2 linked regions of the Arabidopsis thaliana genome follow. The protein of the gene in region 1 purifies or fractionates together with the protein of each later gene. This does not show direct contact. Each region holds a gene or a part of one and is shown on either strand. Other genes may lie near its edges.

The links. The genes of interacting proteins can lie anywhere in the genome.
Region 2: the proteins of AT5G22100 (region 1) and AT4G18465 fractionate together in Arabidopsis thaliana (co-fractionation; one large-scale study listed by BioGRID). This does not show direct contact.

The regions. Positions count from the first base shown.
Region 1 is NC_003076.8:7,327,286-7,331,460, forward strand, and holds AT5G22100 (RNA cyclase family protein), read left to right. Parts: upstream 1-1,584; 5' UTR 1,585-1,729; coding exon 1,730-1,928; intron 1,929-2,165; coding exon 2,166-2,315; intron 2,316-2,398; coding exon 2,399-2,577; intron 2,578-2,657; coding exon 2,658-2,833; intron 2,834-2,916; coding exon 2,917-3,130; intron 3,131-3,223; coding exon 3,224-3,433; 3' UTR 3,434-3,645; downstream 3,646-4,175. Other genes in the region: DPB2 (DNA polymerase epsilon subunit B2), read right to left, coding at 3,786-3,926, 3,998-4,108. UniProt on the Arabidopsis thaliana protein: Does not have cyclase activity. Plays a role in 40S-ribosomal-subunit biogenesis in the early pre-rRNA processing steps at sites A0, A1 and A2 that are required for proper maturation of the 18S RNA.
Region 2 is NC_003075.7:10,194,955-10,202,321, forward strand, and holds AT4G18465 (RNA helicase family protein), read left to right. Parts: upstream 1-1,999; 5' UTR 2,000-2,101; coding exon 2,102-2,205; intron 2,206-2,281; coding exon 2,282-2,426; intron 2,427-2,748; coding exon 2,749-2,823; intron 2,824-2,941; coding exon 2,942-3,031; intron 3,032-3,121; coding exon 3,122-3,201; intron 3,202-3,286; coding exon 3,287-3,356; intron 3,357-3,426; coding exon 3,427-3,512; intron 3,513-3,613; coding exon 3,614-3,683; intron 3,684-3,779; coding exon 3,780-3,875; intron 3,876-3,977; coding exon 3,978-4,083; intron 4,084-4,177; coding exon 4,178-4,224; intron 4,225-4,324; coding exon 4,325-4,408; intron 4,409-4,530; coding exon 4,531-4,584; intron 4,585-4,683; coding exon 4,684-4,784; intron 4,785-4,879; coding exon 4,880-4,970; intron 4,971-5,156; coding exon 5,157-5,321; intron 5,322-5,425; coding exon 5,426-5,515; intron 5,516-5,674; coding exon 5,675-5,746; intron 5,747-5,832; coding exon 5,833-5,931; intron 5,932-6,009; and 9 more. Other genes in the region: SNI1 (negative regulator of systemic acquired resistance (SNI1)), read left to right, coding at 45-203, 285-382, 485-557; AT4G18460 (D-Tyr-tRNA(Tyr) deacylase family protein), read right to left, coding at 809-871, 953-978, 1,072-1,212, 1,337-1,367, 1,441-1,507, 1,592-1,725; CHLI1 (P-loop containing nucleoside triphosphate hydrolases superfamily protein), read right to left, coding at 6,943-7,367. UniProt on the Arabidopsis thaliana protein: May be involved in pre-mRNA splicing.

The sequences.
Region 1 (4,175 bases):
AAAAAAGCTAAAGCCTAAAGCATTTTTAGAAACATTTATTTTGCTTAAAATGAGGTATGGATGAACATAAGAATTTTTAACAAATGGGAAGGCCCAATTATGCTTTCGATCAAATCATATTTATTTTGACATTTAATCCAATTATTATTGTATAGAAATGTGAGTTGCAACACAAAGAAAATAGTTCACATTAAAATAAAGAATTTTGTCAATAAATTAAAGACAAAAACAAACTACAACAATTTGTAGCGATGTGGCGAAAAAGTTTGATCACTTTATTATAAGAGGTCAGTTTTTTTTTCTTAATAAGTGGTATGTTGATATATAGTTTTTTTTTCTTTCACATAATTCAGGTTACTAAAAGTTTTATGAACAGTTTTGCTGTCAAAAAAAGAAGTTACATTAAAGTTTTATCTAGCTGTCGTAATTTTATTGGTGTGAACTACTTTTTGAAGGTAGCATAAAATCTACAGAGAAAATTTGGTGGGCAATCACTAAATGATCTTTAAGTTCAATCAATGATACTATTTTCTTGGTTATTAATTCGGCGTTTTTATTTTAATATTTCAAGTATCTAATATCCATTACCACAAATTAAACCGTGAATTTAATCATTTTTCGTCGTTGATATGAAGATATTATTTTCTGTAAATAATTTCTATACAATGTTATGATTATGGGCTTGATTGGTTTTCCCTCTGCCACCCACATCGTTTGTGGGTGGTAGCGGTTGGTAACGATTAATACCAATCATAGAAACGGTTAGATACCACTTTGGACCGCTCGAAATCGTCAGATTTCAAAAGCTCATTTCCGCAAGCGTTTGCGGTTGCGGGTGGAAGCGGTTAGGTTAAAAAGAAAAAAAAATCTTTTTTTAATTAATTAAAATAATTTTGGCTTCCACCCAAAGCCCAATCACTATAATTAAAATAATCTAGTTCTTTTATATTTTATTTTTATTAGAAAATTCTAATCAATATAACCCTATTCTCTCAATTATGGCATCCATCCAAACTGATGAAAATCAAAATCAGGAATTAAACATATCATCTTTCCCTTTATCTATTCATTAGCTAGTGTAATTCTTTGAGTATTTCATAGCATCATTTTTTTTTATTTTGTATTCTTTTGAGTTTTTTAATTGAATACATGTTTCGATTTGTTTTCTCGATTAGAAAATCATTTGATCAGACGAGATGATATATTGTATTTTTATTTCTTTTATCAAATTTTTGAGATGATATATTGTATTTTTATTTGGTCAAAAAATCAAAATTTCTAATATTATCAATTTATCATAATAATATATTGCATTTTTATTTTTTTTAATAGTAATATATTATATGTTTTTGTTTAGTTTTATTAATTATTACCGCACCCGCTGGTTTACCAGTCATAAAACTCCCGCAAACGCACCTATTATCAAACGCTTATCCAGTCGTTCAAAACGCTTGATAACGCTTAAAACCGCAACCACCGGTTTCCGCAAACTTCCGTAACCGCATCCACTCCGTTTAAACCAGCCAGGCCCTATATTTTGCTTCTTAGTCAACAGTATAATTTCAAGTTAAGAAGGAAAAAAAAACTCTTAAAGGGCCTGAGGCCCGATTAAGTTAAGCCCAAAACTGAAAATTAAAATAATAAGCCGCATAAAGTGAATGGTGAAGAAGAAGGTCTCATTGGGATTTAGGGTTTAAGAAATCTTCCGAGAAAACAGAGAGACAGAAAAATGGTGATGATGAAGAAGATGAAGGGAAGCCAAAGCTTTAGACAAAGACTTCTTCTTTCAACACTTTCTTCAACACCTATCTCGATTGATGAGATTCGTGCCGACGAAACGATTCCTGGTCTCCGACCTCACGAGGTTAATCTTCTCCGCCTCTTAGAAATTGTCACCGACGACGCCGTCGTTGATATTAACGAGACCGGTAAGTAACCTTTCACCTGATTTTAGGGTTCATGACTTCAGATTTACTGATTTTAGGAATGATATTGAGCTGAAGCTAAAGTTTCACCAATTTAGGGCTTCAAATTTTGTATCTTTCAGCTAGGTTTCGATTCCAATCATGTTTGTGTTTCTGAAAGCAAAACTTGTAGAAGAAGAAAATGATTTTTAAAAATTCGAATTGGTTTGTTAGTTTTTTAGTATGTTGCGAATTTGGCAGGGACTCGATTAAAGTACAAGCCTGGAACTATAGTGGGAGGGAAGAACTTGGTTCACAGCTGCTCGCTGAGTCGATCCATTGGCTATTATCTTGAGCCATTGCTTTTGTTGGGATTGTTTGGAAAGAAGCCTCTTTCGATTAGGCTCAAAGGTATGTACCTTCTACTGTAAAACTGCTTTCAAAAGCATGTGGATATTTGATGATCGAGTGAGCAAGTATTTTAACTCTTGCAGGAATTACAAATGATCCAAGAGACGCTAGCGTTGACACATTCCGTTCCACTACCTTGAATATCATAAAGCGTTTTGGAGTCCCTGCAGAAGATTTGGAGCTGAAAATCGAAGCCCGTGGAGTAGCTCCGAATGGAGGTGGAGAAGTTCTCTTAACAGTTCCAAATATTAAGACTCTAAGTGTATGTAGTACTTGTTCTCTTTTCTTCTTCCGCATTGCAAGGTTCAAATGGATTTCTTATCTGTTATATTATTGCTTCAGGCGGTTCATTGGGTAGAAGAAGGAATGGTGAAGAAGATACGTGGTACAACTTTCTCTACAAGAGTGACTAGTGACTTTGAACATTCCATGAGATTCGCAGCTCGTGGTATCTTTAACAATCTCTTGCCTGATGTTCACATTTTCCAAGATCACAGAGCTGGCGCTCAGGCTGGAAAGTAAGAAGCTTAACTAAAACCAAAAGCAAGAGATACTTGATTGATTAAAGCTCACCTTTTTAAAAAAACCTACGTGATTGCAGATCTCCTGGATACGGAATATCATTGGCAGCAGAAACAACTACAGGATGTTTCATCTCTGCAGATACAACAGTGTCTTGTGAAAGACCAGACGAAACTGGAGAGCTCGATGTAGAGAAGAAAGAGAGATCGCCAGCAGAAGACACAGGAGTTGAAGTAGCTTCATGGCTTCTTCAAGAGATTGAAAAAGGTGGAGTTGTTGATTCAACACACCAGGTACGTTTTAAAATTTGAAAACATTAACCATAGACACCAAGATCGATCAGACTTTAAGTGGGTGTGTTGTTGATTCTCTGAGGTTTTTTACAGGGATTGTTGTTTCTACTGTGTGCGTTATCTGAACAAGACGTGTCAAAGGTTCGAGTTGGAACATTATCTCCATATGCAGTGGAGACGTTGAGGAACATTAAGGAGTTTCTGGGAGTTAAGTTTGCCATCAAACCTGATCCATTGACTGGGACTGTTATACTCAAGTGTACTGGAAGTGGCTTAATTAACCTCTCCAGAAAGCTCTCTTGATTTCTCACTCACAGTCACCTTTTACAATTTTGTCTGAATGAAAGCGCTTTTCTATAATTTGAGTGGATGTGTATTTTTGACCTAATCATAATGGCAATTTGCATTTAAATTTATGCATTTTTTACTTTAGATCGACCCTTGTCTGATATAAATTTATGACTATTATTTGTTTACCTTAAGACATATCCTAAAAGAATACTTAATTTATAAGGATACAACTTGTATACAACAGAGAAGCAAAGAATGGGGCATGAAGTATTTTTTTCACTCTTTCTGTATACCTTTTAAGCTCAGGCTTGTCTGGTAAAAATGGCACTCAATTGATCTCCTGGGATGAATTTTAAAAGGAGAATCACAAAGCAGAGAGTTCGACTTCTTGAGTGGAAGGTCGATAAGCTACGAATGTGCTATCAGTTGAGAAAGAGCCTGGATTGAAACATGTTGTTCCCCCAAATTTGCAAACCTCTTGCTCACTCTTGTCACCTAATACTATCTGTTTTGAAACAACAACAATACTTAGTTATAAGGCGGGTTTCGTGCAGGATTTGATATAGAAATGAATACCGTATGAGGAGTTGGGTACAGTCGAAGAGCGTGATCGTAGTTCCAAATGATGGGTTGCACCATGAGAGGTAGAGGACATAGATGGCTCTGATGAGTTATTGTGTAGACAAGCTGTAACAACACGTTTCAGGAGTTTCCATCATTTACCAGGAAAACTTTTAAATCATACGTAAGAAAA
Region 2 (7,367 bases), on another chromosome or scaffold:
TTTCTCTGATTTCTCTCTCTGACCAAATTTCTTTCATGTTGTAGCCTGTTGTACGTACCCGAAGAACAACTGTTCCTCAAGCAGAGGATTCGAAAACACTAAATGGGATCTTGAAGACGTTTTCAAATGGCACAAATCCAAAGAACATCACTAAAAAGATAGGACCTGACATTGTTCAGATCCTCATCGGCCATGCCTTTCTGGTAACACAATAATACCTTTGTTTCTTCTTTCACGTTCTCAGAGCTTTTTTTGGCCTCCTAATGTATTTAACTATTCGTCAGGCTCGGCTTACATTCTCTGACCCTCACGAAGGAGACTCTATTTCAGAGATATGCAGTAGTATCATCTCTGCATTTACTAGTCTAAAGCGAGTAGATCAGTAAGCTGCAGTTTCTTTCACTCTCAGTTTTTTTTCTCTTTGTGCAATCGAGATACTATACCGCTTTCCTTTGTCCAACCGAAAGTTTAATGGTTGTTATAGGAAAATCGAGATTCTACCGTTTGGGAAAGAAGTGTTGTTTACTGCAGGAATGGTACTCAAGGCAAAAGCTTAAAGCATCTAGGAATCAAGATTTTAACAAATCTAGAGACTTCAATTGGATTAGAAGCAAAGAAGTTACAATGTAATGTAGGAATTAAGAGTTACAGATCAATGAATTATGAATTTATATATTCTATAGTTTTGCCAATACAAAATGAGTGATCTTATGATTCTGTTGATGCCTTTTTCTCACTTATGGAACATATCAAGACTTGCTTTAGTAACAAATCCATGCCTGATAAGTTTATGCAAAACAATCTTGGCTTACTTGGTGGATTGAGGTGAGTCGAGCTGCATCGTGACCGGACCATCGTTTACAAGATTGACCTTTGAATATGATTAGAGAACATGTTTTAATCACACAAGATACTAATCAAACCTTGCTATTGAAAGGAGTTATCTCCTTACCTGCATCATAGCTCCAAACACACCATCTGTATTTTAAAAAAGAGAACCAATTTAGTCAAGAAGACTAGAGAAAATGAGAAGTTTTGATTAAGAAAAGATCAATGAGAGTGTGTTTTGACCTTTGACAGCATCAGGATTATATGCTTTCTGGAATTTCTCAACTAAAGAGGCGTAAAAAGGTTTCGCTTTATCAGGTGGCATTGCGACATGAAAATCTGGTTTGTTACCTTTCAAGAATCCGTATAATGTGAATTGACTAACTGTATTAACACACATGATCCAAAGACCAGGGCAAGCAAAGAAAACAAACCTCAGTACATAAACCACAAGCTAAACCTTTCTCTAATCAAATGGTATATGAATAATAAAGAGATGCATCATTACCAAGTAAAACTCCATAATTCCTCTGCATTACCTGCAACAAACAGCATCAAAATTTCCATTTTTTCAAATAACTTGAAAAACAAATTCATTGAAACAAAACTTACATTTTGGTCCCATCCTTTGCCAGTGGTTTCATTAGAGAATAATCTCATGTTTAAAACTTTTCGACATCTATAAACATGTTTCAACTTCAGAATCTGCAAACTTTATAATGAAAATTTAAATGGAAGCATTCATCATTTTGTACAAGCATACATGTAATCAGCGTCAGACTCGGTATCTGATTCATGGATTCCAATTAGTACCAAGAGACCAGGACCAATCTCCGATACGATTCGACCATCCACCGTAACAGAGGAAGATGAGACTCTTTGGATTACAGCTCTCATTGCTCTGATCTGACAATTCCGACGGTGAAGTCGTTGACTTTGGTGGCGTAGATTACGGCGGAGGAGAAAAGGTGAGAGCTTGTTATGGAGTGGTGGAGTAGTGTGGGAAGAAGAAGCAAGACGATACATTTTCTTTTAATTATTAAATAATCCCAAGGAATGGTGAACATATAACCGATATCAAACCGAACCAAATTGATTTTTTTAAATTGAACCGAAATCATTTAAACCAAATGCCTAAAATTTAGACCCGAACCTGTTAATCGCCGGCAACCGTGTCGCCATCGGCGTTAACAACGAAAAGCACATAAGAGAGAAAAAGCCTTCTCATAAACTGAAATAACTGAAGAAGGCAAAGCTCTTGGGCGAAGAAAAGATGGCGTTTTGGAAACCAGGGACCGAGAAACCTCGTTTCGAAGAGGATGGAGAAGGAGGCATAGTGTTCATGTCCAACAATCTCGCATCCTCTTCTTCTTCTAGGTATGCTAATTTCTCTTTCTCTTTGATCTTACTTGTTCAGCAGATGATTGTTATTGTAACTTAGTCGAAATTGTAGCTATGGGTATGCGAATATAGAGAAGCAAAGACAGAGATTGCCAGTGTACAAGTACAGAACTGAGATTCTGTATTTGGTGGAGAATCACGCTACCACCATTATCGTTGGCGAGACGGGTAGTGGTAAAACTACTCAGATTCCTCAGGTTTCTTCTTCATTCTTTGCTCTTCGTTAATATTTTTGGGGAAAGCACCTAGCTTTGCTAATTTCAAGGTTCTTAGACCAGTAGGCAAATTTTGATAGGAGTCAAAGGTTGCGACTTGCGAATTTGGATTGTGATAGTAACTTGCTGATATATTTGCAATGTAGCTAGAGAGAGGCATAAAAGTTACTCAAAATCTTGCAAAATCATGCAATATTTAGCTCAATAGCTGTTGGGGAAGTTGGAGAATTGGAGAAAACTACAATTCGATCAATAGCAAGGTCTTCTTGTTTAGCTCAATAGCTTTGTTTATTATATTTTGTAGTACCTGAAAGAAGCTGGGTGGGCTGAAGGAGGCCGAGTTATTGCTTGCACACAGCCAAGACGTTTAGCTGTCCAGGTTTGTTTTCTCTCCCTAAACAAAATCTTACAACTCAAGTTTGAACTTTGAAGAGTGATATCTCAGCTCAAGTTTTTATATTTGATCACATATATGCTTTGTTTTGTAATTTGCTTAGGCGGTTTCTGCGAGAGTGGCCGAGGAAATGGGAGTGAATCTTGGGGAGGAAGTTGGCTACACTATTCGATTTGAAGATCATACAACTTCCGTCAGACTCTTTCCTTAACGCTCTTCTACTTTTTCTTATGTATGGAGTATTCTGATGATGCTTACAAGATCTTTTGCTTGGTTACAACAGGGTGTGACTAGTGTAAAATTTCTCACAGATGGGGTACTAATTCGAGAGATGATGGAGGATCCCCTCTTGACAAAGTATAGGTAATGATTTTGTTGCACTGTATAATCTGTTCAGATTATGAGTAAATCGTGTTGGTAAAACCTTTTCTTATTTGTCATTGTGCAGTGTTATTATGATAGATGAAGCTCATGAGAGATCTATTTCAACTGACATTTTACTCGGTCTCTTAAAAAAGGTATCTCAGTCAAACACAGTCTTAATTGTTAGTGTACTTTCAGCAACATCTATTTATTATTGATTTTCAGATACAACGTCGTCGTCCTGAGCTACGCCTGATTATATCTTCAGCCACAATCGAAGCAAAAACCATGTCCAATTTCTTCAATTCCAGGTTCTGATCTTACCGAATGGTTATAGTTCTTTTTCCTGAAGTTTAGGGCTCTTGGAATCACTAGTACGATATAATCTTATACATTATGTTAAATTATGTAGCAAAAAACGCCATGCGCCAGAAGGTAGTACCCCTGGACCAAAGTTGGAACCTGCAATCTTATCTGTTGAGGTATATTGTGACTCTCTTGCGTAAGATCATTCTCTGATAACCTATTTTCCTATGTGATATTTAAATATTTTTGTTTTCTTGGTCAAAATTTCTTAGGGCAGAGGCTTCAGTGTGAAAATTCACTATGTCGAGGAGCCTGTATCAGATTATATCCGATCAGTTGTTTCAACGATACTGTTGATTAATGAACGGGTACTTTAAGTTGATGTTCTTATAACCATTCAATGTGTTCAAACTTAGTATATTATTTTCCAGGTATGTTCTTGTATTTAAATTGTCTCTTCTTATGTTCAGGAGCCACCTGGGGATGTTCTTGTATTTCTTACTGGTCAAGAGGATATTGAAACTGCTATTAAACTTCTTGAAGAAGAAGCTCATAGCAATCAAAAGAATTCTTCAGGTATAATATATACACATAAATAAGATCATGTCGATCAACTTTAGCATTTGCCTTCAGTTTTTAAGCACCATAATGCAATTCATATCTTTTTCAGGACTGCTACCTCTTCCATTATATTCAGGACTTTCTCGATCAGAACAGGTTAATTTTGTTGCAAGGCTCTAGACAATCTAAACCATACTTTTGAGAGTATTTGAATAACTGAAACGGCGAAATGTTGTTTTCTCCTTTTTTATATTAGGAATTGATCTTTACTCCAACTCCCAGAGGAAAGAGAAAAGTTATACTATCAACAAATATTGCAGAAACTTCATTGACTCTAGAGGCAAGGATTCTTCTTTACTGTCTTTTTGTTGCAAAATCCCATGGAACGAACAGATGTATTTCTCATACAGATATTGCTGATACATCATTGAGAGTAACTTTCTGTGTCGTTTCTTTATTCAGGGCGTTGTCTATGTGATTGATAGTGGTTTCTCGAAGCAGAAGTTCTATAACCCAGTAAGTCCATCTCCATTTCTTTTGTTTATATATTTTTAGTTCCATCTTTTGTAATATGTTGGACATTTCTAAAGCAACTTACATTTCTTACCCTCACAGATTTCAGATATCGAAAGTCTTGTGGTGGCTCCAATATCAAAAGCATCTGCAAGGCAAAGGTCTGGTAGGGCTGGGCGAGTTCGGCCTGGGAAGTGTTACAGGTAACTCTCAATCCGTTTATTAAAGTACAGAATTTCGTCTGATATAGTTGTTTAGTGCTCATTAATCCTCTTCCTGATATTTTTATGGTAACTAGGCTTTACACCGAAGATTATTTTCTCAACCAAATGCCTGGAGAAGGCATACCGGAGATGCAGAGGTCGAATCTTGTTTCTACTGTAATACAGGTACTAGACTTGCTCAACTCTTGTCATTTAGTTTTTTTTTATAAGAACTCAAAAGTTGGGAGGCGTTACGCAAAACCACACAAGTTTTTTCTTTTCACCTTTTCTATTAAGTAATTAATATCCAGATGAGAGGAAGCTCTTGCTTCTAGATTTCTCAAACTCTGTTGATCTTTTTGGTATTTTCAGCTAAAAGCTTTGGGCATAGATAATATCTTGGGTTTCGATTGGCCTGCACCTCCATCGTCTGAAGCAATGATTCGAGCACTTGAAGTACTTTATTCACTTCAGATCCTCGATGATGATGCTAAACTCACTTCGCCAACAGGATTCCAAGTTGCAGAACTTCCACTGGTACTTTTTCTTCCTGACCATGAGCTATTATATATCTAAAATGTAATGTTCATTTGCAGTTTGTTCTGCATATTACATGTCTCATGCTCGTCATTTTTTGCTAGGACCCAATGATATCAAAAATGATTTTGGCTTCAAGTGAGCTTGGTTGTTCACATGAGATCATTACAATCGCTGCAGTTCTCTCTGTCCAAGTAAAAGCTCTTTACCCCTTTTTCCTTTGCTTAAAGTTTCTTCTCTTTATTTACATAAGGAACAACCGAACATATTGCAAATTTGTGATTATTTGCTTTCGACTTGAACTATGGGATTTGAAACTTAACAGATGCAATCTTGAATATGTTTCTATGCAGTCTGTTTGGATCATTGCCCGGGGAGTACAGAAAGAACAAGATGAAGCAAAACTGAGATTTGCAGCCGCAGAGGTATGTATTGATATATAACTTTGAGCTAACTATATCTCTGAAAATCTTTTTTTGACTGAGTAAAATCATTGTTCTTGTCTATATAGGGTGACCATGTCACATTCCTGAATGTATACAAAGGGTTTCTTGAGTCGAAAAAGCCTACACAGTGGTGTTACAAGAATTTCCTCAACTACCAATCCATGGTGCGTATAATAACAGAACAGGCAAGTAGTCCTTATCTTCCCTTCTCCAATTTAATTTGTTTTTGTTTCCTTTCACAGAAAAAAGTAGTTGAAATCAGAGATCAACTCAAACGGATTGCTCGGAGATTAGGCATCACCTTGAAATCATGTGACGGAGACATGGAGGTAAGAAACTGTAGCACTTTGCTTCATTTGAAAAAAGGTTGCATGTTTCTAACGTTACACTGTTTCAGGCTGTGAGAAAAGCTGTGACTGCAGGTTTTTTTGCCAATGCATGCCGTTTAGAAGTAAGTGACCCATTTCAGTTCTCTTTTTCTGCACATCCTTTCAGCCCTATAAAGAAATCTGATTTTCATCATCTTAATTCTTTTCGATGTTTTAGCCACACAGCAATGGAGTATACAAGACCATTAGAGGCTCTGAAGAAGTTTATATTCATCCGTCATCTGTATTATTCAGGTTAGTAGTATATCTTGTTGCTATGGATTTAGCAAAAACCTCAATAACATCTAAAAGTTGAAGATTTTTTCTTTTGAACGTGAAAGCTTATTTGGTATATATACTCTTTATACAATCTTCAGGGTGAATCCAAAATGGGTGGTTTACCAATCCATTGTCTCAACTGAGCGTCAATACATGCGGAATGTCGTCACCATCAATCCTTCTTGGCTGACAGAAGTTGCTCCACACTTTTACCAGAACCGGCAAAACGCTATGTCCTTCTAATCAATAAGTTATCACCTGCGTTTCAAGATATAGTAACAGTTGATCCTGACAACGTTTTCTGATAGCTTTATAGCCATAATCAATGCAGGAATGTTTGTATGTAGTTACACAAATATAAACAGAGTTCTATTGAGTCTATGATTTGAAGTTTGAACAACTCAACTTAATGAATAAAGCATAGACTCTATATTCAATCAGATTTGCCTGTTTATAGTTTTGGTTCTTCTCACCGTTTACAGAGTAGAAAAAGTTAAAGAAAAATGATCACAGAATCGAATCTCCTATTCAGCTGAAAATCTCGGCGAACTTCTCGGAAACTAGAACTCCTGAATCAATAGATTCCAGTGGATCTTTCCTCAGACGGTGCCTTAAGCAGTTAGGGATAACGGTTGCAACATCATCTGGAGTTACTCGATCTTTTCCTTTGAGAGCTGCAAGTGCTTTTGCTGCTCTGTTAGTCACTATGTCTCCTCTCAACCCATCAACATTGAGCTCTGAACAAACTCTAGAGATCTTCACCTTCAATTCCCTATCAATCTGAACCGAGGAAAGGTTTGCCCTAGCAGTTGAAATCTGGTCTTGAAGCTTGTCCTGCTCGGTTTTGTAAGTGTCACGGAAATCCTTTGGGTTACTATCGAAACGAGCTCTCTCTTCAACAATCTTGACCCGTAAATCAGCATCTCTAACCGTCCCTACTTGTGCATGCATAC